7 linked regions of the Xenopus tropicalis genome follow. The protein of the gene in region 1 interacts with the protein of each later gene in a pairwise test. Links are inferred from orthologs where the notes say so. Each region holds a gene or a part of one and is shown in the gene's direction. Other genes may lie near its edges. The genes, in order: vcp, faf2, rpl9, lzic, rnf115, ubxn4 and ubxn8.

Region 1 (3,440 bases):
TTATCTGAGAGGCTTATGTGCAGCAGTGCAGTAATGGATTCCCTTTGCCGACTTCCTTGTTGCTTCCTCCATTTCATTCCACTGTTACTGACGCTGATTTGTCCCTGCTCAGTATCCTGTGGAGCATCCAGACAAGTTCCTGAAGTTCGGAATGACCCCATCGAAGGGTGTGCTTTTCTACGGGCCCCCCGGGTGCGGTAAGACTCTGCTGGCTAAGGCCATTGCCAACGAATGCCAGGCCAACTTCATCTCCATCAAAGGGCCAGAACTGCTCACCATGTGGTTCGGAGAGTCTGAGGCCAACGTCAGAGAGATATTTGACAAGGTAAGGCCCCTCCCACCCCCTGTAACTGCGTGTGCGCTGGCGCCCGTACGGCACCCTAACAACCAGCTCTTCCCCTCTGCTCTCAGGCTCGGCAGGCCGCTCCTTGTGTCCTCTTCTTTGATGAATTGGACTCCATTGCCAAGGCCCGAGGCGGCAACATTGGAGATGGTGGTGGAGCCGCCGACAGAGTCATTAACCAGATCCTCACAGAGATGGATGGAATGTCCACAAAGAAGAACGTCTTCATCATTGGAGCCACCAACAGGCCAGATATTATCGACCCCGCCATCTTGCGTCCCGGCCGTCTGGATCAGCTCATTTACATCCCACTGCCCGATGAGAAGTCCCGCATTGCCATCCTGAAGGCCAACCTTAGGAAGTCTCCTGTTGCCAAGGCAAGTCATTACCCAGGAAGGGGGCAGAATGTCCTTTTATTGCCCAACTGGCTTTATTGGTCCCACCCCACACCCAATAAAAGGCATTTAATTGGTTCCTTGTGTGTATATGATAGAGACTTTAGATTACCCATCCATCTTCCAGTCTGTCATTCAAAGCACTGCCTGGTTGCTATGGTCGTGGGAGGCTTTAGCAACCAAGTGCAGCACAAAAAGTTAATTGTTCTGTTTCTGTGGGGCCAAACCTCCCATGCTCCATGTAAGTTACTGACGCCTGCTGCGATTCTAAACAGGATGTGGACCTTGACTTCCTGGCCAAGATGACCAATGGTTTCTCCGGTGCCGATCTGACTGAGATTTGCCAGCGTGCCTGCAAACTGGCCATCAGGGAATCCATTGAGAATGAGATCCGAAGGGAGCGAGAGAGGCAGACCAACCCCTCGGCTATGGTAAGGAGGCGCTCGCTGTGATTGGGGCAGAACATGGGGGGTATTATAGGATGTCTCTGGGGTTTGTGCCTCACTGCGCCCCCCGTAGCCTGGGGGTCCGGGGGTTTCGCCTTCTACTGACCCCTCTCTCTGTTTCCCCCACCGATTGCAGGAAGTGGAAGAAGACGACCCTGTACCGGAAATCCGGAGAGACCACTTTGAAGAAGCCATGCGATTCGCCCGCCGCTCCGTCAGCGATAACGACATTCGCAAATACGAGATGTTCGCACAGACCCTTCAGCAGAGCAGAGGATTCGGCAGCTTCAGGTAACGCTGAGCAGCGAGGGCCGTCTCTTATGCCAAGTGCCAGCGTGGCCCCTTCACTTCAGCTTATTGGTCCCTGTATGGGGCCCTCCAGCCTAACCAATATATGGCCAAAAGTTGTACAGAAAATTCTAGTTAGGAGTTGGGATCAGATTGGTGCGTTGGTGGGTGTCATTTCCCAGTGTGACCTCTCCTTAGGCCTCTGTTATTGCTTGGGGTTCTGATCATACAAATCTGGGCCAGGGGCTGGTACCGGAGACGCTAAGGGTCCACTCTGTGACCTTGCCCAATGGGCAGCTGTATAATGTGTTGCCACCCTAGTCACTAAGGCAAAACACAATATTTTTGCAGCACAAAAGCTTTATCTGTGCTTATTGGTGCAGAGTAACTGCACTTACAGACCCTGGCATGGGGGGTGCGCTGGGCACCCTGATCCCCAATATTAACACTTACGGCACCCTGATCCCCAATATTAACCCTTACGGCACCCAACCGATTGCTTGTATCATCCACATAAACTGCGCATTTGCTCTCTGTCAGATTTCCCGCCGGGGGTCAAGGTGGAGCCGGTCCCAGCCAAGGAGCGGGCGGAGGCAGCGGCGGCAGCCATTTTAACGAGGAAGAAGATGATCTGTATGGTTAAAGAGTCGGCCGACTCGCCCCTCGTTGTACAGCGCAGAAATTCCTACGTTAATGGACACTCAGCTTTTCATTCCCCAGTCCCGGCAGCGTAGATGCACCCCCCCCACTCCTATGATTTGTTACACGGCTGTGAGAAGGGGAGAGCCAAGTCTCTCAGGATTCCGCCTTCAACTCTTACTTTTCTCTCCTTTCCCTCCCCGTCCCCCCCCCCCAAGCGGCCCCTGTGCTCGCGGCGTCGAGGGCGGGGAATGAAAGTTCTGCCCCTCCCACCGAGTGACTTTGGACTCCTTTTACCACCTGTGGGGGGAGGATCCTGCAGATCTGGTTCTGACTCCTCCAGTTTCAGCTGTTTTGCCTTCAACTGTTCATCCAAAGTGGGTTCTGTTGGGTTCTGGTTCTGTTTGGGGGAATCGATGCCAAGATTAACCCTTTGGCTGCCACCGTGCCTGGGGAGCTTTGTAGCCGGGCACCCTGGCAGTGAAAGGGTTAATAGAGCGGCAGCGGGGCCCCAGGGTGTTGCAGGGTTCTCCAGCTGTGATTGGGTCGCTCCCTCTCCTGTGGGTATGAGAAAAGCAGAATAAAAGAAATTAAACATTCTCTGAGGGTTTTTTTCCTTTCATTTTTTTCATGTTGGATTGAAATACGGAGGCTCGAGCGTCTCGACAATAAACTGACTGATCTCTAATGCGACTGTCTCTTTGCTCTTTGTAATTGAGTGGGGGGGGGGGTTATTGTATGTCTCCTCACCTGTGGGTATATAGGTGGCACCAGAGCACCACTCGGACCCCCCATACAGGGTAGGGTGTAATAGGAGTGGCTACTGGGCACCCACCTGGGTCGGGTCTGTCCTGCTGGGGAACATGGGCCCCCACTGTCTTTGTGAGAGCTTCCACTGGGGGGGGGGGGGGAGAGAGAGAGGCAGACAGGCAAGTGTGGGCAAGGCAATACTCTGAACCCAATTCTGCAGGGATCTGGCCAGCACTTGTGGGGTTGATGCCATACTCTGAACCCATTTCTGTGGTGATCTCGCTGGCACGTGTGGGGTTAACGCCATGCACTGAACCCATTTCTGCGGTGATCTTGCCGGCATGTCTGGGTCATTCTGAGGGGGGTGATTTATCTTCTGAATCAGAACGCTGGACCCAAATTTACATGCAGTTTTAGTGGCCGAGTCGTGATTGGATTTGGGGGCTGAAACAAAAGGTTTTTCCTAAATTCCAGCAGAATCTGAATTCTACTAACGATGGTTGTGATTTGTATTAAACGGCAGAGATAAATCCCATCAGCAGCTGCTGCTCCATAGAGTGTGTGTGTGTGTGTATATAT
Region 2 (3,111 bases), on another chromosome or scaffold:
AGAGACTAGAGAGGTGAGTGCACTCCATATAAAAACTATAAACGCAATTATGCATAGTAGCATAAATAGAGCTACTTTTACTTTCAAGTGAATGCTAAAGTATTTAACCTAAGGGCTGTATTAACAGACCCTTTGGTCCATTTTAGCTGCTTTCATGACAGACTTTTTCTTTCAAATATGAAATCCACTGCATGCGTAAGGGAAGAGTCGCAGCGAAGCCTTGTTTTTTCCTAGCACCTGCCTCATATAGATATGACTGCTCCATAATTTAATAATGTCTGTCCCCCCAGTTTCTGAACATTAGAAGCAGGGGGTGAGTGAAAGACAGGCCACATGTGTAATGGAAAACATATATACCCTGGGTTTGTGGAATCATATCTCTGTATTTAACCAGGGGCTTCTTTGGGGGGTTAGTGATTTGAAATGCAGTTTTTGTTGCACCTGCTATTAGACCTAAAAAAGTTTTGTGTGTGCATTTGTGTCTCCCTTTTTTTCCCCTCGTTAAAACCAAGTAAAAACAGTAGTTGACCTCAGCCTGCATACTCCAAACCCCACAACTCTTTGCACCCGTGATTTCAATAAGGAAAGGAACAGTGCAATGGATTGTGTTTTATGTAGTTCCTACATGCTATCTGTAAGCTGTGGAGAAGTTGTTACATAAAAGTTTTACTTTTGCAGCTGGATTTCAGCATATTCATTCATTCATACTTTTTGAAGGAACAGATTACAGCAATAGATATATTAGGGGTTTCTGTGTTGCTCACTATTCCCCTTGATGTTGCTCCCAGTGGCCTCAATGCAGGTGCACATTTTTACATTTCTGGTCTGGAAGACCGTTTTAGAAGCAGAACTGCCTGTAGGCTAGCAGTCCACATGGGCTACCAAATAGCCCCCAAAGAACTTTTTTCATTCTTGTGTTGCTCACAAACACTTTTTACATCTGAGTGTGGCTCACAAGTAAAAAAGGTTGGGGATCCCTGTTGTAGAGAGTGCTATTCTGAAACAATTTGCAATTGGTTTTCATTTTGATTTATTTAGCTTTTTCAGTTATTTATCTGTTTGTTCAGCAACTTTCCAGTTTAGAATTTTAGCAGCTATATGGTTGTTATGGTCCAAATTACCCTAGCAACCAGGTAGTAGTTTGAATAAGAACCTGGAATATGAATAGGACTGCAACTGAATAGAAAAGTAAGTAATAAAAGTAGCAAAACAATGAAATTGTAGCCTCACAGAGCAACAGTTTTTGGCTGCTGCGACCAGTAACTCCCATTCAAAAGCTGAAAAGAGTCAGAAGAGGAAAGCAAATAGTAAATAAAACACAGATAAAAAGTTCTATGGCCATTCTATAACATACTAAAAGTTAACTTAAAGGTGACACACCCCTTTAACTTATTGTTCTTTTTGCAGAGAGGAGCGAAACCAGACTCAGGTGCTGAGGCAGCAGCAAGATGAGGCGTATCTGGCATCTCTGCGTGCTGACCAAGAAAAAGAACGCAAGAAGAAAGAGAAACAGGAGCAGAAGAGAAGAGAAGAGGAAGAGGCACAACTCAAACAGATGTTAGAAGAGAGGAAGAAAAGGGTAAAGAATTTTACTCCCTGAGTAGCTAGCTTATACAGTTATAACAGCACTCAGGAAAATGGATCAAGGAAGGTGCTTTCAATCTATAGTTGCAGCCTGCTAGTTGTCACTACAACTTATAGAATCACCATGATTGCCGTGTTGGAAGTTAGCAACAGCTAAAGAGCCCAAGGTTAAAGATTGCTGCTTTGTTAGGATAGAACATTTTGAACCATTTGAAAACTTCCTTATCCGTTATAATTCAGACATTTTAAGCTATAGATCAGTGATCCCCAACCAGTGGCTCACAAGCAACATGTTGCTTACCGCCCCCTTTTATGTTGCTTCCAATGGCCTCAAAGTAGGTGCCCATTTTTAAGTTTTTGCTTGGAGGCAAGTTTTGGAAGCACATAGACACAGTTTTACTCAAAGCAGAGCATCTTGCAGGGTATCACTCCACATGGGGCTGCCAAATAGTCAATCACAGTCCAATCACAGAACTTTTTTCATGCTTGTGTAGCTCACCAGCACTCTTTTACATCTGCATGTGGCTCTTGGATCTTGGATATAGATCCAAGTTATATCATGCCTAAATTAACAGAACTTCCAGCTCATTTTGATTTTTTTTTTTGGCATTGCCATCCCAAGATCCAACATAAATGCACTATATTTTAAATGCAAAGCATTAAGAACCTCTTTGGACAGTCAACCTCAGGAGAACAACTGTTAAACTACTATTAAAGGAATAATATCCAATTAAGGTTTTTTTTCCTTTAGATTTGAGTTAATATTCATTTACGTACTTTTAATCCAACATGCAGAGAAATCTACTGGCTAAAATCCTTGTAAAATGGCAATGCTGCCCACTTAGTTGGGCCTGCTGTAGCCCTGACCGTGTAGAGATTTGGGGGTAAAGTTGCCGTGCCCACAGGGTTTGTATCCTGTGAATGGCACTTCTTTCAGTAATTCTTTAAAGTTTAGCTGTATTTTATTTTATATATTGCTCTGTTTTCTTTATGTATGTGATGTTCTCTATTAACTGCCAGTATTTTATCTCCTCTAATAGAATCTGGAAGAAGAAAAAGAGCGCAAGTCTGAGTGTCTCCCTGCCGAGCCAGTTCCAGATCATCCAGATAACGTGAAAATTATTTTTAAGATGCCAAATGGTACCAGGGTAGAGCGGCGGTTCCTCTTCACCCAGTCCCTGTCAGTAAGTGCCCACTTCTGCATCTATACAACATGTTTGGCTACCACCTTTTTTCCATATTATTTGGCATACCTAAGTTACTGGCTGCACTATAGCTTTGACAGTTTGGGTCAGGGGACTGACAAATTGATAAGAAGGACAGGCTATTCTATTTAAAATTGTAGTCAGAATTCACACTTGAGTACTGTAGGTCCATGCTTACAGGGATTTATCTAAAATGCCTCATCAGGACTTTCCAACTGGTTGTCACTGAGCAGCTTTCTGTATAACCCAGTAGTTAAGTTTGTATGTCCCTATCTTTTTACTATAACTAGCACAATGGGCATATACTGGATATTAGAAATAG
Region 3 (4,824 bases), about 180 Mb from region 1:
CAGTTGCTATTGCCATGCTCAGTCTGGCCTTTTATTCTTAGCTGACCTACACAGAAAAACTGGAAGCCTAGCTGCCCCCCCATATTAAGTCACCAGATAGGATAGTCTGGGCTGTATCTCTAGGAAAATCGTGATGGTTACATACCGCAAAAAACTCATAAAAACCACAATGAAATACGTTACTGTTTAAAGTAGTGCTGGGCGGTATGACCAAAAATTTATATCACGGTATTTTTCAAAATTATATCGGTATCACAGTATTTGACGGTATTTTTTTTTCCCCATGCATGATTAGGTGACCACCCCAAACTCCCGCCACCCGCACCCCCCCCGCCACCCCCCCACCCCCCCATCCGCACGCAACCCCCCCACCCCCCATCCGCACGCACCCCCCCATCCGCACACACCCCCCCACCCCACCCCACCCCAAACACCCCCCCATCCCCTTCACATAAATATAACCCCCCACCCCACCCCCCCCAAACACAACCCCATCCCCTTCACATAAGTATAACCCACCCACCCCCACCCCAAACACCCCCCCATCCCCTTCACATAAATATATATTTTCTGCAAGTTATTCCCAGTTCTAAGGGCAGTGGCACACAGGCTCTAATTACTCAATAATTCAAATCAAATGATTTTAAAAATGCCAGCCTTTGTGTGTCATTCATAGTCATTTTCAAGCAAGAATGGCATACTTTTTAGACAAGAATTACTGCAGTGCCCACACTCCCTAGATGTGCCACTACTGTTAAGAAATGCAGTCACCCATTATTTCATTTTGAAATGTTTAGAATTTCTGCGATCCCACAATCTTTAATGGGTGATAGCCAGTTTCATGTAGGTCGCCATTATGTTGGGTAGTTGTTAACACGGGACTACAGATCTGCACTTCTGTAGCAAAAGGGACTGGCTCAGGGAATTTTCCATTAGAGCTCCAGCTTCTTTGATTTTTCCCTCTGATCACTTGTGCCCTGGGCAGGCACAAATGCAGGATGACAAAACAAATACTAAAATCACCTGCCGGAGACAGTGTGGGGATACCAAACATGGCAGGTTGGCGGTCATGGTCCCAGCCTAGCAATTAGTCATGCAGTTGTCTAATTGGCATCCTCTAATAAATTGGTGTTAAAAGGACAACTTAGTTTGCATTTTTTTTGTTTTTTGTCCCACATATATTAAGTCAGCAATATTAACCAGATAAGCTCTAAAAATATGTTCTGAGATGGTTTTTATAAGACGCAGCCAGTGAAAGGTTTAAGGTAAACACCCTTACATGCTTTACAGTGTTTCATAATAACAATTTTAAGGCTTCCCATTCTATGTCTTTGGGGCTCAGCACATTATTTGTCTTAACATTCCACCTTATTTACATGGTGGTGATTAAATATTACATATTTTGTTTAGAATGAATATGTATTCAGGTTTTAATTCCCTTTTAATATACATGGTGGTATGATGCTTGCATTAATGAAAAAAAGCACACTTGTAGAAATCCACTAATTTTATTGTTGTCTGTACTCTTCTATTCTAGGTGTTGCATGCGCCTTATCCCAAGCCCAGAAAGATGAGCTGATTCTTGAAGGCAATGACATTGAACTTGTATCAAACTCTGGTATGTTAATAAACACATTTGGTGTTCCCAATAATGACTGGCTGCCAGACCTAGATGTGCAGCAGGTTGGGTTAGTCTTGAATAGTCTTAAAGCTTTAACCTTGGTTAATCACTTTAGCTCTGCAGAAACACATGGAATAATCTAAAATCCAGTTTCTTAAATTTTTACATTTCTGTTTAATAATTGTGCAAAATTGGCATGTTAAATTATCATCCCTTATTGAAATCTGACTAACTTTAGTCATTAATGTGTAGATCAAAATCAGTGTGAGGTTTTAACAAGTAAAATCATATGTAGCCATTATAGATGGATTTGTCTTATGTTATTTATACCTATATTTTTTTATTTTTAAAGCTGCCTTGATCCAGCAAGCCACCACAGTAAAGAATAAGGATATCAGAAAATTCTTGGATGGTATCTACGTATCCGAAAAGGGTACAGTACAGCAGGTTGAAGAATAAAAGGTTTGTATTTGGACACTCCAGGGTTGTTTTGCCCAAAATTATGGCCAGTTGTACTGGATTTTACTAAATGATGTTCTCTTGTGTAGGAATATGTCCGCTGCTTAAAACGGGAATTAAAATAGATACACCAGTGCTCCCCTTATGTAAAGAAATCAGTTTAGGACAATGTTGTACATTACAAAAATCTTCATTATAGACAATAATGTACAATCACATAGTAAGTATAGTGTAAGCATATTGCAGTATACATACCAGTACCCTTAGTTCCAAAACACCAGGGTTTCTCACCACCTGGTATCTTGCCTGCTCATATTTTATAGACTAAGTTATTTTATAAAGTGTATTCTAGTGTGCGTTTGCTTGTAAGTACTTAAAATACCTTTTAGTAGAGCTACCATCAAAAATACCACCTAAAACTTATTAAACTGATTTTAATATAGAAACACAAAACATATATGTTACATGTGAATGCAACTGCAGTTGAAAGCAGTAATTCTGTCCCTTTCTGTACTCCTGGTGTTGATTCTTTGAAACAAGGTAGAGGAAGTCAAGGCTCCATTTTCTCAGTGGCTTGTATGCTTCACTAATAGGATAATCAACTGGATCTGCAAGGGGGTGGGACAGAACTTGGAAGTTGCCCCTCACTGTTTCTTGTCTTGTATAAAAAGTGTAAAAACTGATCTATTTTACCACGAGAGGGAGCCTTGGATCAAAAAATGTTAAATCTACTGCAGATAATTGGATAATCCTTGCCCAATAGTTTTTAGGGAAAATAGTTTAAATCCTTTAAAAAAAGGCTGAATACTAATTTCTAGCATTGGTTAAATGAATAGACCTTGTGCTAAACATATACTTTGCCTGTTTTAATTAGGGTTAATATATGGTTTGTTTCTTGAACTAAACTGCAAAATCTGAACTTGAGTCTCACTGTACTTTTGGTGCTTAGGATAAGGTAACCAGATCACTTGAAAATTCAGGGACACTTGTAACATTGTTGGGCAGCACAAATTGCATATAAAATAAACTGCAATCAGTTCAGCCCTGCTAACTGGATTTTCTAGACGTGCCCATAATTTTCAAGTGATCTGGTCACCCTAGCTTAAGAGTACAGTCAAAACCATGTCAGTCCACTGTGGAACCCTCTGTATATTACAACAAACCCCTCGCTTCCTCCAGCTAAAGCCTTTGTTAGGCTGTGTGATAAGGACCAGTTCATTATACATATGACTTCTTATTGGAGGTGCAAGAAATATCAAACAATAAAAACCCAACCAATATCCTAATAGGCAAAAACCACTGCTTAAATTACATTTCCAATAACGCATTGACCTTTCTGCTTTCTATACATGAGGCTGGTGTGACTTATGCCAGTTTTTTCACTGCCTTTAGAATAAATGAATAACCTATCTATACCAGGCTATTGGGTGTTCTGGATGCAAAGTTGTTTTTAATTATTAGCAGAAGGATAAAATGAAGTTTTCCAGCAGGTACCCTTCGTGCTGCTGTGTCCTTGTTAGGCTTGTGGAACAAGTGGTTGTTTCAGCCTGCGTTTATCCACAGGCCAAGAATCTGCCACATGTAGCATAAGCCTTAGTATGATAGAATGCATAGCGTTGGTAATGGGCTTTGAACAAATTTGTAGTGACGTATATATTTTTTTCCTTCTTTACAGCCTGCAAAAGTCTGGTTCCTGTACTGTTCCAAAAATAAAGTCCCTTTATCTAAACTTCTGACTTTTGTTTCTTTTATTGGTTTGAGATTCTCTTATAGACTATTTTGGGCAATAGCCTTGACGTTTTTAAAGCATTAAACATGCAAAAGGGATTAATCGTTAACTTTCCGTAAGTGCATACATTTTCAGAAGCTTTTTATGGGTAATATATTATGGAGTACCTTTGGTCATATTTTTTCATAGCCTTGAACATTCACACCTGGTTGTATTTTTGTGGGTAAAGTGGAAGCTGTGGTTTGTCAAGTCTCTGTGACCAACATACACTTAATGCATAAGATCTTCATTAAAGTGGTGTGTTTTGGCTCAATGGATTGGTAATGTTTTAAAGTAGTCTTCCAATAAATGTCCATTGCACAAGCTTTCTTTTTTGTTTTGGAGTTAAGGTAATAAAATGCTCTTGATTGACTTATACCATAACTTGAGAAGGCTAATCCATTAGATCCTAACCAATTGTTGGCTCACATGAAATCCATGTCACTTCCTGCTTCTATCTGCTTGTTAAACCACCCCCTGCTACAGTAGTTATTAATTCTACCATTCCTGATAAGTTCTCATGATGGCAAGCTCCACTTGGGCCATCTGCTGCATAAGTCATTATCTAGTTGGGCTTTAGGGCAATGACAGATGGGACATTGTCACCTGCAGTTGATCTCTGCTACAGCAGACGACAATGTCCCTTGTTTCCTTGCGAGAACTTCTGGGCAACTTTGTGTTATGTAGGTTTGCCCAGCACCATTTTGCATGTTAGCCTGTGGAGAGGAAACAAGGAATGTTTTGTTGCCTGCTGTAGCAGATTAATTATGAGATACAAAACATCCTGTCATTGGCAAGAAAACAGAGGGGCCCGTTCCCACCGTGTAAAGTCAATGTAAACAATCTATTAATAAATTGCACTTACAGACATTGAAGTACAAAAAAAAAGATGTGAACAAGGCTTATTTAAACCCTATTCCCTTATGTTACTGGATGTGATGTGTGTGCTCTTAGGCAGTGGGAGTGCAGGCATATT
Region 4 (4,032 bases), on another chromosome or scaffold:
TAGAGCAGCTTAGTGAATTTAACGATTCATTGAAGAAAATTATGTCTGGTAACATGACTCTAATAGATGAGTTGGGCGGGATGCAGCTGGTGAGATATTTATTTTTAATTGTTTTAGGTACCACTTAAAGGGGGCATATTGCATATATTCCTTGAAATCACTTTTATCATGTAGACAGCGATAAATAATACATAATCCCTTTTTAGCCAAATTGAAATCGGGGACTGTTACCTTTACAACATATATATGTGTTGGAGTTCCTAATAGATCCTCTCTGAAAAAAATCAATTACAGCTCTGGCTTTACTCATTGAAAGTTCTTTATCAGGTCTACCTAGCTTTTGCATAGCTGGCATTCTACAATACAAATTTATATGAGCCATTTGCTCTCCTACACAGCCTGAAAAGTAGGCAGAAATAAGTAGAAAGGTTGGGTAATGTTTTGGGAAAATTTTAATAAAGCAACACAAAAGGCACATTTGTTCTATTTTTAAGGTGTATAATTAATAAAATAGCGAAAACTTATCAATTAACAATGTTACCATTAGGGCAGAAGTAAACGTAAACACTGGAGTAAACACGGAATTCACAACAAATTTTGCAGGCTCCTACCTGTGTATCTCTCTCCTCACCGTGAAAAACCACCTACGCTGCTTCAAATGGAAACTCCATTCCTCTCATCTAAAGGGGTGGCCTCTGGTGCATTGATTGTTTTTATGGGAAAAAAGAACACCCCCAATCTGCCTATAATCCCCTCTAATGTACTTGTACATTATGTAATTAGTAATCCTGTCCCCTCGCAAGCGCACGGTCTAACCTCATAGCTTAAATCTTCCATCCCCTTTACCAGTTTAGTTGCACATCTCTGCACTCTCTCCAGCTCATTAATATCCTTCTTAAGGACTGGAGCCCAAAACTGCACTGCATACTCAAGGTGAGGCCTTACCAGGGACCTATAAAGAGGCAAAATTATGTTATCATCCCTTGAGTCAATGCCTTTTTTTTATACACGACAGAACTTTATTTGAGAAATTAGACAACTTGTCATCTACAAAAACCCGTAGATCATTCTCCATTAAGGATACTCCCAACAAACTACCATTTAGTAGATAGTTCACGTTTACATTATTTCTTCCAAAGTGCATAACTTTGCACTTCTCCACATTGAACCTCATTTTCCAGTTTGCTGCCCAGTTTTCCAATTTTTTTCAAATCGCTCTGCAAAGTGGCAGCATCCTGCATGGAACTTATAGTTATATAATAAAAGTATAGTAAGTATAATAAAAATAGAAAGCAGTTATAAAAAAAAAAATGTTTTAAAGCAACAACCCAGAAAGTACTCCCGGTAAATGAGGACTTCCGCTGCTGTATATGTTTTTGTGGGAAGGGTTATTTTTTCTATAAATGTAGTATTTTTTTTTTACTATTATATTTATCTTTTGCTATGGTATCATTTTGATTATAATCCCAGGTGAAACCTAGCTCTGTTATTCATCCATAGAGGGTTATGTTGAATGTTAAAGGAAAATTAAAACCTAGCCCCACTCCACTGCCACCCCCTCCAAGCTCCCTCCCTGCAGCATCTCTTTTAATTGTCCTGACCTGCCATAAATTTGCACAGTTGCACAGCAAAGTTCAAATGGGCCATCTTCCACTCTCTTCACATCCTCTTCTGGTCAGTGTAAAACTGGCCCACCAGGATACCAGGAAAACTCCCAGTTGGCCCTCCTGCCTTTTGACCATTTGGCCTGTTTCATGGTCATTCCCTATTTCTGAATGGGAACAAAGAGGAGAAATAGATGGAAGAATAGATGCTAGCATGTAAATAAAAGAGACTAAGAAAATAAAGAGGTTGAGTGAGGAAAGGAAGAAAAATAGTTTGGAAAGTGGGCCTAGGGTCTAAGGTTTTCTGGTGGGGCCCCTAGGTTCCCAGTCCGACACTGCTTCTGGTAGAGCGACGACACAGATCTTGGAGTAGCATGCGCAGTTGAATATATGTCCTGAATCAGCATTAACTGTGCATACTCCTGCAAGATCTGTATCTACAAATGACAGAAGAGGATCAGAAGACTGACAGCACGCAACTCAGCAGATTTATTGTTGGTTAGCTCACAAGGAGACTTCTGAACAGAATAGCTCCTGCACGGGGGAGCTTTGAGAGGGACAGTGGATGGTGGTGGAGGAGAGGCTTTTGTATTACATTAATGTGCCATGAATGCACAGAAAGAGAGAAGATTTTTGCTACGATCCCAGAAAGCTTTTAAAAATGTTTTTATGTAAAGTATATAATTCAAAGCCTTTCTTGTCTAATTACATTACACAGTATACATACTGTGCACCTGTACAACCCAATTAAACATGAAAAATTATCATGGAAATATTAGATTAAAAATATTCTTGTTATATGACAATAAAAGAAATTCAGATGCATGTGGCATTTTTTATTCCAGTGCCCCATTTCTGCTTTATAATTCACTAGCCCCAGCCACTCTGTAATCATCTTTCACATTTGTCATATATCACCTTGTTGCAAGTTTTCCCCCTATAAACTGTATCTCGGCATGTAAAACCATAACCCACTTTTAAATGCCATTTAAGAACTCCCCCCCCCTGCAATTTTTTGCCTAAAAACAAAACATAATTCTAACCAACTTTGCAATATACATTCATTACACATTTGAAGTGTTATCAAGTTATTTGTATATATTATTGCTTTTAAAAGCAGTGTTTGTGCTTTTCTGTTCTCTGTCCTGATGGCTCTGGCTTTTGCAACAATGTAACAGAAGGCAGTGGATTGACAGACCTGTCTTGCTATAGGAGACTGGCTTTTGCAACATTGTTTAAAAGTCATAGCAAGGAGTTAAAGTGATAGATCATTCTTAGGGCGAGGTCACACAAGGCGTCTTTACGTTGCATTTTTAAAACCGCAGATTTAAGCATAACTACAGCAATAAAACAGCACACGGCTGTTTCTCAGCCTGTAGTTTTTTTTCCCAACATACATTTCAGATTTTTCTCATTCACCATAATTCTGCTGTTGCGCGTTTGTAATGACAAAATACATCTGTGTGCCGTCATTGCTACAGTGCCACTTCTCTTTCCATTGTACTGTCACATGCTAGTGTCACATGCTCTGTACACGTTCCGTATCAAAAAAAGCCTTGAAGGAAGACACCTCGGAAGAATTTTAGTACATTTTTGCAAAAAAAAGAGCCAAGCGGGAAAGCAATCTTAAAGCAAAATGTAGCCGGACTTATTGTCAATAAGTTACAGCATACAACGACGTAAATACGTATTTGCACAATCCATCTTGCAAGAGTTTGGTCACATATCGAAAATACCTGGCGTATTTCAGTCAAGTGTATTTCCAAACCTGTGGAAATAGCATTTCCATGACATATTTGCATTTATTGGTGTTTCTTATTAATTCCGTGTTTACTGTTATGTCATATTTTACATTTTTCCATTCCTATACAGGCAATACAGGCAGCTATCAGCCAAGCCTTTAAGACTCCCGAGGTGATCAGAATGTTTGCTAAAAAACAGCCTGGGCAGCTACGAACACGTTTAGCAGAGGTAACAGAATAAAATATTTCACCAGTACAGTTTTTTCTGCAAAATAGTTTATTTAATACTTTTTTGTTGGTTGTTTTCCTGTTAGCTAGATCGGGATTTAATGGTAGGCAAACTAGGAAGAGATCTATACACACAGCAGAAAGGGGAGATCCTGATTGCGTTGCAGAAACTTGGAGAAAAGGTAAATCTAAACGCAGATATTTCTTTTTATCTATTGTATCAAGCTACTTAGATGTAATTGTTGTATTCATTTCATTTAATAATTTATCTGTTAATTTATGTTTGTGTATTTGCTTTTTCTTTTTTTTTACATTTACATTTAATCGCTGTATACCCCAGGGCCAAAAAACAAAGGCGTTTATGATGATGTGGCATGTGTAGCTATCCTTGGACCACCCGGCCAGCCCTACTATTACTGTTGAGGACCGAAACGTCTGATTCTTTTAAACAATATGTC
Region 5 (4,032 bases), on another chromosome or scaffold:
GAGATTGTCTCCCATTACTCCTCCCGCTGATACCGTGTAATAGATACGGTACCACCCCGGCTTCATACAGATCTGCAATGGGCACACTGGGTTTGCTTTCCCTTTAAACCTGGGGTCAGATTACCACTAGCAGTGACGCCCTAGGCCCAAACTGTACCAATGGCACCGACATGTTTATGGGTCAGTCCCCCCTAGGCCCAAACTGTACTAATGGCACCGACGTGTTTATGGGTCAGTCCCCCCTAGGCCCAAACTGTACTAATGGCACCGACGTGTTTATGGGTCAGTCCCCCCCTAGGCCCAAACTGTACTAATGGCACCGACGTGTTTATGGGTCAGTCCCCCCTAGGCCCAAACTGTACTAATGGCAGTGACGTGTTTATGGGTCAGTCCCCCCTAGGCCCAAACTGTACTAATGGCACCGACGTGTTTATGGGTCAGTCCCCCTAGGCCCAAACTGTACTAATGGCAGTGACGTGTTTATGGGTCAGTCCCCCCTAGGCCCAAACTGTACTAATGGCACCGACGTGTTTATGGGTCAGTCCCCCCTAGGCCCAAACTGTACTGATGGTTCCGACGTGTTTATGGGTCAGTCCCCCCTAGGCCCAAACTGTACTAATGGTACCGACGTGTTTATGGGTCAGTCCCCCCTAGGCCCAAACTGTACCAATGGCACCGACGTGTTTATGGGTCAGTCCCCCCTAGGCCCAAACTGTACCAATGGCACAGACGTGTTTATGGGTCAGTCCCCCCTAGGCCCAAACTGTACTAATGGCAGTGACGTGTTTATGGGTCAGTCCCCCCTAGGCCCAAACTGTACTAATGGCAGTGACGTGTTTATGGGTCAGTCCCCCCTGGGCCCAAACTGTACTAATGGTACCGACGTGTTTATGGGTCAGTCCCCCCTAGGCCCAAACTGTACTAATGGCAACCGACGTGTTATGGGTCAGTCCCCCCTAGGCCCAAACTGTACTAATGGTACCGACGTGTTTATGAGTCAGTCCCCCCTAGGCCCAAACTGTACTAATGGTACCGACGGGTTTATGGGTCAGTCCCCCCCCTAGGCCCAAACTGTACTAATGGTACAGACGTGTTTATGGGTCAGTCCCCCTAGGCCCAAACTGTACTAATGGTACCGACGTGTTTATGGGTCAGTCCCCCCTAGGCCCAAACTGTACTAATGGTACCGACGTGTTTATGGGTCAGTCCCCCCTAGGCCCAAACTGTACTAATGGTACCGACGTGTTTATGGGTCGGTCCCCCCTAGGCCCAAACTGTACTAATGGTACCGACGTGTTTATGGGTCAGTCCCCCCTAGGCCCAAACTGTACTAATGGTACCGACGTGTTTATGGGTCAGTCCCCCCCTAGGCCCAAACTGTACTAATGGCAGTGACGTGTTTATGGGTCAGTCCCCCCTAGGCCCAAACTGTACTAATGGCACCGACGTGTTTATGGGTCAGTCCCCCCTAGGCCCAAACTGTACTAATGGCAGTGACGTGTTTATGGGTCAGTCCCCCCTAGGCCCAAACTGTACTAATGGCACCGACGTGTTTATGGGTCAGTCCCCCCTAGGCCCAAACTGTACTAATGGCAGTGACGTGTTTATGGGTCAGTCCCCCCTAGGCCCAAACTGTACTAATGGCACCGACGTGTTTATGGGTCAGTCCCCCCTAGGCCCAAACTGTACTAATGGCAGTGACGTGTTTATGGGTCAGTCCCCCCTAGGCCCAAACTGTACTAATGGTACCGACGTGTTTATGGGTCAGTCCCCCCTAGGCCCAAACTGTACTAATGGCACCGACGTGTTTATGGGTCAGTCCCCCCTAGGCCCAAACTGTACTAATGGCACCGACGTGTTTATGGGTCAGTCCCCCCTAGGCCCAAACTGTACTAATGGCAGTGACGTGTTTATGGGTCAGTCCCCCCTAGGCCCAAACTGTACTAATGGCAGTGACGTGTTTATGGGTCAGTCCCCCCTAGGCCCAAACTGTACTAATGGCACAGACGTGTTTATGGGTCAGTCCCCCCTAGGCCCAAACTGTACTAATGGCACCCACGTGTTTATGGGTCAGTCCCCCCTAGGCCCAAACTGTACTAATGGCACCGACGTGTTTATGGGTCAGTCCCCCCTAGGCCCAAACTGTACGGGCCATGTTAGTAGTGTAACCACATTTGCTATTGTTTGTAGGAGTGGGATGCTGCATTCGAATCCGGGGGACTACGCGTGGGGCCAGAGCGGGTTGGACTCCATCGTCACACAGGTAAGGATGTGGGGGTCTCGGTGCAGTACGATGGCTCTCTATTCTACCTTAATGCAAAGTGTTAGTGTGTTTTAATAAATGCCCCCCTTACTGACCCTGCCATGGGATTTTGGGCTTCAACTTAAAGCCTCTGTTTTTCCTTCAGCTACTGGGGCAGCTGGAAAACACCGGTCCTCCCCCGGCCGACAAAGACAAGATTGTGTCCCTCCCGACTGTCACTGTAACCCGGGAGCAAGTGGGTAGGTCTCTTTCTCTTGTATGTTCCCAAGCCTTTCCATATGGCTGTAAATCAGACCTGCCCCCTACTAACCCAGGCAGAGAGCTGAGTTTTTTTTGTATTTGGGCTGCTTTTCTCCCATGGCCAATGGGGAAGAGAGCAGCCCAAGAGCAGGAAGTATATAGAATTGAGTTTGTTCTGAGAGAAATGGGATTGGCTCACTCAGTGGGAGGTTCTTAGTGAGGCTATTTGTACAATTATTACTCCCTGTATTTACCGTGCGTCTCCTTCTCTTTTCCAAGCAATGGGCCTGGAGTGCCCAGTGTGCAAAGAGGATTACGCCATAGAAGAACAAGTAAGGCAGTTACCCTGCAACCATTTCTTCCACGGAGACTGCATCGTGCCTTGGCTTGAACTGGTAAGGGCCCCCCCCTCCCTCTCTTCACGGTTCAGCAGCTCTCCAGTTTGGGATTTCAGCAGCTGTCTGGTTGCTAGGGTTTCGTTTACCTAAGCAACCAGGCAGTGGTTCGAATAGGAGATTGGATATGAATAGGAGAGGGAGCTGAACAGAAAGCTGATAACAATAATAATTAAATTGTAGCCTCACAGAACATAAAGGTTTTTTTTTTTTGCTGCTGGGGTCAGTGACCCCCATTTGAAAACTAAAAAGGTATAGAAGAGGAAGGCAAATAATTCAGAAACTATAAAGAATCGAAGAAGATCAATTGCAGATTTGCTAGGAATTCTACAACATACTAGTTAATGTAAAGGTGAACTGCCCCTTTAAACATGGGCTTATTTTCAATTGGAACCAGTGGTGCAACTTGGCTGCTCTCTTTCCCAAGGTCAGGCGGGAACATCCCCCTTGGTGTATTCTCACAGGTATAGAGTTCTGATGAATCATGTCTGACCGTGGTTATGCCCAGGCAAAGAAAGTACAGAGAGGTTGGATAAAATTACCCAGGGGGGGTTCCTGCCTGACCATGGGAAAGAGAGCAGCCCAGGAGCAGGAAGTACAGAGAATCAGAGCTCTGTACCTGGGTAAGTACTGGGGGGAGATTGGATTCACTTACCCAGGGGGGGGTTCCTGCCTGACCATGGGAAAGAGAGCAGCCCAGGAGCAGGAAGTACAGAGAATCAGAGCTCTGTACCTGGGTAAGTACTGGGGGGAGATTGGATTCACTTACCCAGGGGGGGGTTCCTGCCTGACCATGGGAAAGAGAGCAGCCCAGGAGCAGGAAGTACAGAGAATCAGAGCTCTGTACCTGGGTAAGTACTGGGGGAGAGAGATTGGATTCACTTACCCAGGGGGGGGTTCCTGCCTGACCATGGGAAAGAGAGCAGCCCAGGAGCAGGAAGTACAGAGAATCAGAGCTCTGTACCTGGGTAAGTACTGGGGGGAGATTGGATTCACTTACCCAGGGGGAGGTTCCTGTCTGACCATGGGAAAGAGAGCAGCCCAGGAGCAGGAAGTACAGAGAATCAGAGCTCTGTACCTGGGTAAGTACTGGGGGGAGATTGGATTCACTTACCCAGGGGGAGGTTCCTGTCT
Region 6 (4,633 bases), on another chromosome or scaffold:
TGCAATGAGGAAAATGCATTGGTCTTTCTTTTCCAGGTTTATCTTTAAAATTTGTTACAAACATTGAAGGGATAGGTTGTGACATTACAGAGTGTGTATGTTTGGCAGCAGTTCCAGCATATTGGGTCCGTCACCCTACTGAACTACGTGTTCAGGGTGTGGCAGAACAAGGTGGGAGGACGCCTTATACTATGTAACTAGGAGCGAGATTGTTCAATTTCCCTCTAGGTAACACCAAGGGCCCCAAACTTTGTCAAATTTGTCAGGTGCGCCCCTAGTCTCGTATGTGAGTTTATACAGAGGGGCAACCGCATTCACTAGGTTCTTCCAGGCTGTAATGGTGGGCAGGGTAGGGCCCATCCAATGCATTGCGACTGTTTTTTTTGCATAGGAGTATTCTGTAGCGTATCTGGGCGCTATTTTGGGCAATTATACTGTCTAGGACCCCTAGCAAGCAGGTTTCAGGAGCAGTCACAGTAGGGAAGGCTAAGTTATTTGATGAGTATTTAGTGACTGCATATGGGGATATGAAAGTTAGCAGGGCTAGCTGCACATCTCGGGCAGTGATCTGTTGGGGTACGGCCCATCTGGCGCAACCTTAATGGTGTGATATGGACAGTCCCTCTTTTGACAGCTCAGCTCCCAGTCCCGGATTCTTACTGAATTGTCCCTCATTTCCCTCATCTCCTGCACTGAAGCAGGACCCCAAACCCCCCAGAAATGTGTTCAGACCTTAAATAACCTGCCAAATTTAGTCAAATGGGAGTGGTATTTAGGGGGCGTGGTAAAATTTTGCCGTGCGTTATTTATTTTTGTCCCTCTTTCCATTTTCAAGGGAGGAATGTGTCCGGCACCATTGCCTCAGCCCATGCTCTGGTCAGTCCGGACACTTTCTTGGCCTGAGCCTGAGGGCAGTGCTGTGGAAAACATTGGGGTCACCACCTTTGCCAGTGCTAAACCTGAACAAAGGGGGCGGGGCAGCAAAGCTATAGGGGTGGGGCAGCAAAGCTAGGGGCGGGGTTATGATGCCAGAGTGCAGTTACTGCAGCGCTTACAATTGGCTGGAATTCCAGTCAGTTTGATTGGCAGCCCTAGTTCTGTCTTTATTCTGCCTGATGGGTAACTGTATGGGCTCTGTTATACCAGTTTTCCAGAAAGCTCAGAAATTTGCTCTTTATTTCTGTAACAATAAGAAATGAATTGAACTTGATAACTAAACAGGTGGCAAGCCCAGCAAGCTGCTGATTGGGTGGGAGGGAAGGGCAAAATAAATGGTATTACCCCAGAGAATGGCCTACATTAACTATACAGCAAAACTGAATAAAACATGACGCAATGATGGTAATTATAGGCGCAATTAGTGTATGAGGTAACTGCATATGCGTATGACATCATTACGGGCAGAGCGTATGGCGGCTTGGTTGTTTCCATGACAACAAACTCCATCAGCGCTGCGCTCAGTATTCACTTCCGCCCCACGTGGGCGTGGCTTATTGTTTGCGTGCGGCGTGAGAGCGGACGGCGTTACGTCACATCCTGTTTTCCGGCTTCGTCACCGTCTGTGTGTGTGCAGTGAGGGCAGTGAGGGCAGTGACAGGAGGCGGGCAGCGGAGTCGGACGATGCTGTGGTTCCAGGGCTCCATCCCGGAGGCTATAGCGGCCGCCAAGCAGCGCAACTCCGTGTTTGTGGTGTTCGTGGCTGGTGAGGAGAATGGATTCCCCGCCTCTCAGTGTATCGGGCAACTTGTCATAGGGGCAACTGGGCCTGAGGCACGGCCAACTGTCTGGCATCATAGGGGCATAATATGGGCATCATAGGGGCATAATATGGGCATCATAGGGGCACAAGGGCTGCCAGTATCGGGGGGGGGGCAATGATTGTTATAGTTGTCAGTTTAGCTAACTGCCTGTCAGAGGGGAGCCCATGTACTGGTACTAACTGCCTGTCAGAGGGGAGCCCATGTACTGCTACTAACTGCCTGTCAGAGGGGAGCCCATGTACTGCTACTAACTGCCTGTCAGAGGGGAGCCCATGTACTGCTACTAACTGCCTGTCAGAGGGGAGCCCATGTACTGCTACTAACTGCCTGTCAGAGGGGAGCCCATGTACTGCTACTAACTGCCTGCCAGAGGGGAGCCCATGTACTGGTACTAACTGCCTGTCAGAGGGGAGCCCATGTACTGGTACTAACTGCCTGCCAGAGGGGAGCCCATGTACTGGTACTAACTGCCTGCCAGAGGGGAGCCCATGTACTGGTACTAACTGCCTGCCAGAGGGGAGCCCATGTACTGGTACTAACTGCCTGTCAGAGGGGAGCCCATGTACTGGTACTAACTGCCTGTCAGAGGGGAGCCCATGTACTGGTACTAACTGCCTGTCAGAGGGGAGCCCATGTACTGGTACTAACTGCCTGTCAGAGGGGAGCCCATGTACTGGTACTAACTGCCTGCCAGAGGGGAGCCCATGTACTGGTACTAACTGCCTGCCAGAGGGGAGCCCATGTACTGGTACTAACTGCCTGTCAGAGGGGAGCCCATGTACTGGTACTAACTGCCTGTTAGAGGGGAGCCCATGTACTGCTACTAACTGCCTGTCAGAGGGGAGCCCATGTACTGGTACATCTGGCATCATGGAGATAGCCCAGGGACTGGCACAGCTAACTGTCAGTATAGTGGGAACCCGGGGACTGTTATAACCAATGTCCTGCCAGAGTGGAGCCCAAGGACTCGCTGCCGAATGTCAGTATGTGGGTAACCCAGGCAACATATTGGGGCATTAGAACTGTTCTCTGTAGCCCAGAGGCTGCTGTAGGCCACAAATACTAAGCTGTCAGCTTTATGATGGGCCATTATTATTGTCAGTGTTCATGGGGTTGCCTAGTAACTGTCAGCTTGTTGGTATGTATGTATATTTCATGTATATAATGCTACGTATGTGTGAATTCATAAACAAACAGGTTCATTACAATAATAGGTACAAAGGAATAAATACAAATAAATATAAAGTACAGTTGTATTAATGATTCCACCGAGGACGGGAGGATGGAGGTCCCTGGCCTGTAGAGCTTACAGTCTAAATAACTTACAGACACAAATAGGTGACACTGCAGTATAAGTGCCAGTTCCTAGTTCAGGTCTATGCGAGAGCCCCAAGGGGGGGTCTGTGAGTTCTGCAGAGACAGGGGGGATACCCTCGGCAGAAATTTGGGGAGAATGTACGAGCAGCCTGACAGTTACGGGTGACAGAAAGGGACAGATTTTGGCAATTTTGCATAAGAAAAAGTTACAGGTTTTGACAGTGGGGTTTATATGGTGAGAGAAGGAGAGATCCCCCCCCAAACCACGTGCCGAGTAGATAGGGTTAATGAGCGTGTCATCAATAGTAATGGGGGGGGCAGTAGGACCAGTAGATAGGGTTAATGAGCGTGTCATCAATAGTAATGGGGGGGGCAGTAGGACCAGTAGATAGGGTTAATGAGCGTGTCATCAATAGTAATGGGGGGCAGTAGGACCAGTAGATAGGGTTAATGAGCGTGTCATCAATAGTAATGGGGGGCAGTAGGACCAGGCTTGGGTGGGTAGATGCTCAGTTTTTTGTAAAGGGGAACCCTGTTATTTCCAGGCAAGTAGCTGTCGGCTTATAAAAAGGAGTAATTTTTCGATTGGGGGGAAACAGGTAACTGTCAGGCATCTGCCTTTACTAACTGTCAGCCTGTGTTTGTTGGCTGGTAGCGGGGGTGGGATTGGGGTTGCACAGTTTCTGTCACTGGCATCCTGTGTGTGAATGGAGATGGATCCTGGGGGCTTCTCTGGGCAACTCTGTGCCTGCCTGCCAAAGGGGCCCCAGGTCGCTGCCGCTAATAATGCTGTTATTGGATGGTATTACTGCGTGTATAGGGGACCCATCCAATAGAGGGGCAGCACTTTAGCCATTTAGTAATGAGGAACGGGGTGACAGTTAGAGTGACAGACAGAGCATCTCTGAAGGGCTCGCAGGCAGTTATTTATTGGCTTCAGTCTGAGAGTGCAAAGTGCAGTCACTGCGAGTTCCTGGCCCTACAGTACAGTCTCTTTATGAGATGTCCCTTGGATGCAATAATAAAATCCATTATTGCTCTATCCCAGTAATTATAGCCCGTCTCTCTGTTAGACTGCCTGGCACAGTTGGCACAGTTGGGCCAGCGGCACCATTGGCATCCTCTCTGCCGTTGTTGCTACGTAGTTTGAAAATAACATCCTAGTGAGCCTTGGGCCTCCATCTTGTTTCTTTTGTGTTTGTCTTGTTTGTGCCGTGAAGCTGCTCATTCCCTGTCACTGTAGGGCAGTCTCGCCAGCAGTCTCGCCAGCTCTTTGCCAAACTGTCACAACAAAATGCTTTCACTGCCCTTATTGGGAGACATAAGAAGGTTAAACAAAGGGAGAGCAAATAAACCACAGCCCTCCCAGTACTGTGGGTGGTGTCTGTAGCTGCCTGTGTGTTATAGGTGAGGGGGGGGGGTTATTGTTGTGATGAAATCTGGGTATTAGGTGACAGACAGAGGCGGCAGGCAGAGCTACCAATGCACTTGACAAGTGGCGGCTAATAATACTCCTGTGCTGATATGGTATTTATAGTCAGTGTTTATGTGCTCCA
Region 7 (4,032 bases), about 120 Mb from region 1:
AGACTTCCCTCAAAGCAAAGGAACATAAAAGACTACTTTTATGTGCTGCAGTGTTTCTAACAAACACTGTTTTGTGTGCTGAAACTTTCAATGTAAATAGTACCTAGCTCTAACCTTCTTAGTATTTTGACAAGGTTTGTTTTTAATTCACCCATCTTTTTCTTGGCAGCTCTTATTATTATGCATAAAGTTGGGGGGATGCCCTGCAGCGTAGAATGTACTGATTAAAGTATAATATTAATCAGTTCTACCTCTCTCTACTTGCACTAGCTCTTGCACTGCATGCTTGCTGCACCAGAATATCTAGAGTTTGATATAGTTATATATTTGGTAAAATTGTACAGAGACTATGAACAGGTAATGGGTTAATCCCTGCTGTGAAAATCCTGTGTTTGCCCCTATATGGGTGTGAGGTTTACATAATGTTTGGTATTCTTATTATCACTAAACTGTCTTAACTGGTATGGGCCAAAGGAAAACTTGCCCAGCACTAATATAACAGTATTGTTAATTTTATTAGCGCCACCATTTTCTTCTCCCCAGGTAATTACCATTGTCCTAAGATGTCCAAGCGGGCGTGTTTTTAAAAGAAGATTTTACACATCCTGCACTTCAGAAGTAAGTAGTGGGAGCTATATTTACTTTCCTTTACTTGTAATGTTCTAGACAGTGCTCAAATGCATCTGGAAACAGCTGGAAAATATCTGGAAAAAAATAGTCCAAATCCTCAGTGTTGGTTATTGGAGTCCATCTTCTTGTGTGCTCCTGAAGGAGCAGCTACATAATATACCATTTATCTTGGTCCTGAGACTCATGTGCAGGACCATGTGCATTAATATACAGCAGCAGTATACATTGTTATTACTTTTATTATAGTGTATAAAACGAACATTCACCTAGGCTTTTGAAATACAATAATGTATGCCCCGATTCAAGAGGTATGTTACATAGTTACTTTGGGTTGAAAAAAGTCCCATCAAGTTTGACCCTTCCATTTATGCATACCTAATTAAACATACACACCTAATATTCTAAATTAATTGTAGATCACAGTAGCCTTGGATATTTTGCTTAAAGGAGAACTAAAGCTTAACTAAAGAAGTAGGCTAAAAATGTTGTACATTATGGGGCACATTTACTAATCCATGAATCCGAATGGGAAAAATTCGGATTGGAAACTAACATTTTGCGACTTTTTCGTATTTTTTGCGATTTTTTTCGTCGCCGTTACAACTTTTTCGTAAATTGTTGCAACTTTTTCATAGCCGTTACGACTTGCGCGAATTGTCGCGACTTTTTCGTAGCCGTTACGATTTGCTCGTATATTGTTGCGACTTTTTCGTATTGAGCGCTTGTAAGCGGCGGGCAAAACTTTCAGACTTTGCATGATTTTGGAAGCCTCCCATAGGACTCAGTGGCACTCTGCAGCTCCAACCTGGCCCAAGGAAAGTCACCATACTGAAGCTTGAATGAATCCGAAACTTTCGTACTCAGCGCGACAGCTACAAAAAAGTCGTGACAATTCGTAGCGCGGACGCTACGAAAAAGTCGCGACAATTTATGAAAAAGTCGCAACGGCTACGAAAAAGTCACGCCAATTTAGGAAAAATAGCAAAATACCGATCATTACGAAAAAAACGCATTCAGACGCTTTTCGGACGTTCGTGGATTAGTAAATGTGCCCCTATGTTTTGGGCTTCTGTACCAGCCCAAGGCAACCACAGCCTTTACCAGTGAAGATCTGTGCCTCCAAAGATGCCCCCAGTAGCTCCCCATCTTTTTCTCTACTGATTCCCTGCATATGCTCTGTGCTACTATCAGTTACTGAGCTTAGGGAGCGATGTACAATATACTGTATATATAGAATACAAATGTAACAATATAAGGCTGATTAGTAATTCATTTGGATTCAGATAACATGGCAGCTCTGAAACCAGTGCAGTTAGCATCCGAATTTAATAATCAGTAGCCTCAGTTTATATGACAGGCCAGCCTCATTTTCAGATTGATAATTTGCAATGACCCCTAAGCTCAGCTTCTTAACAGATGCTCAGAGCACACTGAGCATGTGCACTGTCCCAGACAGTTCTAACAGAATCCAAGATAGGAAGCTTCTGTGACAACTGTAAAGACCTACATCATTACTACTATAGAGATGCTGAAACTCTTGGCTAGTGAAGTCAGATTAGTACAGGTATAGGACCCATTATCCAGAATGCTCGGGACCAAGGGTATTCCGGATAAGGGGTCTTTCCATAATTTGGATCTCCATACCTTAAGTTTACTAAAAAATTAATAAAACATTAATTAAACCCAATAGGATTGTTTTGCATCCAAGAAGGATTATTTATATCTTAGTTGGGATCAATTACAAGGTTCTGTTTTGTTTCTACATAAAAAAAGGAAATCAGTTTTAAAATTCTGAATTATTTGCTTATAATGGAGTCTATGGGAGACGGGCTTTCCGTAATTCGGAGCTTTCTGGATAACGGGTTTCCGGATAAGGGGTCCGATACCTGTATATAAAATATGGCATTTCTAGCCATATTCATTGTTAGGGTTTAGTTCTCCTTTAAAAGTATTAATAGAATCACAACATCACTTGGAAGGGCATTCTGCACCCTCACTGCCCTCATTGTGAAGAATCACCTACACAGATTCAAATTAAAGTTCTGTTTCTGAAGTCTAAAGGGGTGGCCTCTGGTTCTTTGTACTTTACTATGGGGGAAAATACGTCCGTATGTCTGTATACGTTATGATATCTAGAGCTAGATTATGTATGAAAGAACTATAATGGCCTTTGAACATACCTCCTTCTCCTTTGGAAGTGGGGAGGGTCCAGAACTATTCTTTGTAACTTCTAATCTCTTCACGGGAACCCAATTTAACACACTACTTCTGATTTTAGGTTTTGTTGGATTGGATGAAGAAACTAGGTTACCATCCAGTTATTTATACCATCTACTCCACATTTCCAAGATGCCAGTTAGAACTCAAGAATGGTTCATCATTAGAGGATATTGGGATTTTAAAGGACATGGTTTTGAATGTTGAAAAAAAAGATTCTTAATATGTTGAGTGGGCCGACTGAATCTGATGATCATTCCTGACCAACAGCATCACCATTTTTATACTAGGGGGCAGATTTACAAACATTTGGATTTTCATGGTATTAGAGTATTTTGAAACCTTGACTAAACTCATTTCCACAATTTGAATTGATAAAGCACAAATGTGGAAAAAAATTTAAACTACGAAGAAAGATCTCCCGGTTGTAAAAAAAAGACACCTGCCATCGACTTCACATGACCTTGACAGCTTTTAGATGGCGTATTTTTTTCTTTCTGATTTGTCACAATTTTGTTGCATATGAATGGTGAAAAAATAGTTTTTTGTGCAAAAAATTACGAACCGTGAAAAAGAAAAATTGAACTTTAGTAAATGCACCCCTAGGTGTCAGTATTATACATTTTATATCATGTCTGTGTACAATTTCACAGAGATATGGACATTTATTTTTATATTTTTTGGCCAAAAATTCTTTGTAAGAGATGTGCTTAAGTAACTAAAAGCTTCAGCATTTTTTAACTTGCTCTAGCAGTCAATTATTTAGAGGCTGATGGGTAATTTAAAGCATGATGCTACAGAAGCTTGTTTTCTAAGCTACATTCTTCCTGGATCCTCTATGGGCCATAGAGTGAAAAGCTGGGTTGTCTTTTTGCTCTACTGCGCGTGATGTCCTGGCCTGGGACCACAGAGAGAATCCAAGAACAGGAAGAGTGGGGTGCCTAACATTTTGGTTCCCCTCTTGTCATTGTGCCTTTTCTTCTCCTTTAATACTGATTCCAAGATCTTACACTGTACATCATTATACTACAGATAAGCCCAAATGAGAGTCAGTTGCATGTGTAGGTGCAACAAGCAGCAAGAGCTCCCTCGCCTCTCAGCACCTTATTATGTAAAGCAGATGCAATCGGCAGTATGGTGCAAGAAACAAATATAAAGGGGCTTTAATTCATAAATTAACTTCTC

Evidence for each region.
Region 2: the proteins of vcp (region 1) and faf2 interact in binary tests that used the Homo sapiens proteins (3 or more experiments, as listed by UniProt). The link is inferred for Xenopus tropicalis from reciprocal best matches to the Homo sapiens genes VCP and FAF2.
Region 3: the proteins of vcp (region 1) and rpl9 interact in binary tests that used the Homo sapiens proteins (3 or more experiments, as listed by UniProt). The two-hybrid records come from large-scale screens. The link is inferred for Xenopus tropicalis from reciprocal best matches to the Homo sapiens genes VCP and RPL9.
Region 4: the proteins of vcp (region 1) and lzic interact in binary tests that used the Homo sapiens proteins (3 or more experiments, as listed by UniProt). The link is inferred for Xenopus tropicalis from reciprocal best matches to the Homo sapiens genes VCP and LZIC.
Region 5: the proteins of vcp (region 1) and rnf115 interact in binary tests that used the Homo sapiens proteins (3 or more experiments, as listed by UniProt). The link is inferred for Xenopus tropicalis from reciprocal best matches to the Homo sapiens genes VCP and RNF115.
Region 6: the proteins of vcp (region 1) and ubxn4 interact in binary tests that used the Homo sapiens proteins (3 or more experiments, as listed by UniProt). The link is inferred for Xenopus tropicalis from reciprocal best matches to the Homo sapiens genes VCP and UBXN4.
Region 7: the proteins of vcp (region 1) and ubxn8 interact in binary tests that used the Homo sapiens proteins (3 or more experiments, as listed by UniProt). The link is inferred for Xenopus tropicalis from reciprocal best matches to the Homo sapiens genes VCP and UBXN8.

What each region holds. Positions count from the first base shown.
Region 1 is NC_030677.2:212,815,535-212,818,974, reverse strand, and holds the end of vcp (transitional endoplasmic reticulum ATPase), read left to right. Parts: intron 1-112; coding exon 113-325; intron 326-411; coding exon 412-720; intron 721-1,013; coding exon 1,014-1,169; intron 1,170-1,320; coding exon 1,321-1,475; intron 1,476-2,012; coding exon 2,013-2,115; 3' UTR 2,116-2,799; downstream 2,800-3,440. UniProt on the Homo sapiens protein: Necessary for the fragmentation of Golgi stacks during mitosis and for their reassembly after mitosis. Involved in the formation of the transitional endoplasmic reticulum (tER).
Region 2 is NC_030679.2:47,538,526-47,541,636, reverse strand, and holds part of faf2 (FAS-associated factor 2), read left to right. Parts: coding exon 1-13; intron 14-1,407; coding exon 1,408-1,579; intron 1,580-2,624; coding exon 2,625-2,768; intron 2,769-3,111. UniProt on the Homo sapiens protein: Plays an important role in endoplasmic reticulum-associated degradation (ERAD) that mediates ubiquitin-dependent degradation of misfolded endoplasmic reticulum proteins.
Region 3 is NC_030677.2:36,143,165-36,147,988, reverse strand, and holds the end of rpl9 (60S ribosomal protein L9), read left to right. Parts: intron 1-1,537; coding exon 1,538-1,618; intron 1,619-1,973; coding exon 1,974-2,080; 3' UTR 2,081-2,083; intron 2,084-3,755; 3' UTR 3,756-3,809; downstream 3,810-4,824.
Region 4 is NC_030683.2:63,536,868-63,540,899, reverse strand, and holds part of lzic (protein LZIC), read left to right. Parts: coding exon 1-89; intron 90-3,476; coding exon 3,477-3,575; intron 3,576-3,660; coding exon 3,661-3,756; intron 3,757-3,914; coding exon of another isoform or gene 3,915-3,956; exon of another isoform or gene 3,957-4,032.
Region 5 is NC_030684.2:141,762,843-141,766,874, reverse strand, and holds part of rnf115 (E3 ubiquitin-protein ligase RNF115), read left to right. Parts: intron 1-2,190; coding exon 2,191-2,263; intron 2,264-2,408; coding exon 2,409-2,502; intron 2,503-2,782; coding exon 2,783-2,898; intron 2,899-4,032. UniProt on the Homo sapiens protein: E3 ubiquitin-protein ligase that catalyzes the 'Lys-48'- and/or 'Lys-63'-linked polyubiquitination of various substrates and thereby plays a role in a number of signaling pathways including autophagy, innate immunity, cell proliferation and cell death.
Region 6 is NC_030685.2:84,077,838-84,082,470, reverse strand, and holds the start of ubxn4 (UBX domain-containing protein 4), read left to right. Parts: upstream 1-1,520; 5' UTR 1,521-1,620; coding exon 1,621-1,702; intron 1,703-4,633. UniProt on the Homo sapiens protein: Involved in endoplasmic reticulum-associated protein degradation (ERAD). Acts as a platform to recruit both UBQLN1 and VCP to the ER during ERAD.
Region 7 is NC_030677.2:97,456,272-97,460,303, forward strand, and holds part of ubxn8 (UBX domain-containing protein 8), read left to right. Parts: intron 1-543; coding exon 544-618; exon of another isoform or gene 619-620; intron 621-2,908; coding exon 2,909-3,070; 3' UTR 3,071-4,032. UniProt on the Homo sapiens protein: Involved in endoplasmic reticulum-associated degradation (ERAD) for misfolded lumenal proteins, possibly by tethering VCP to the endoplasmic reticulum membrane. May play a role in reproduction.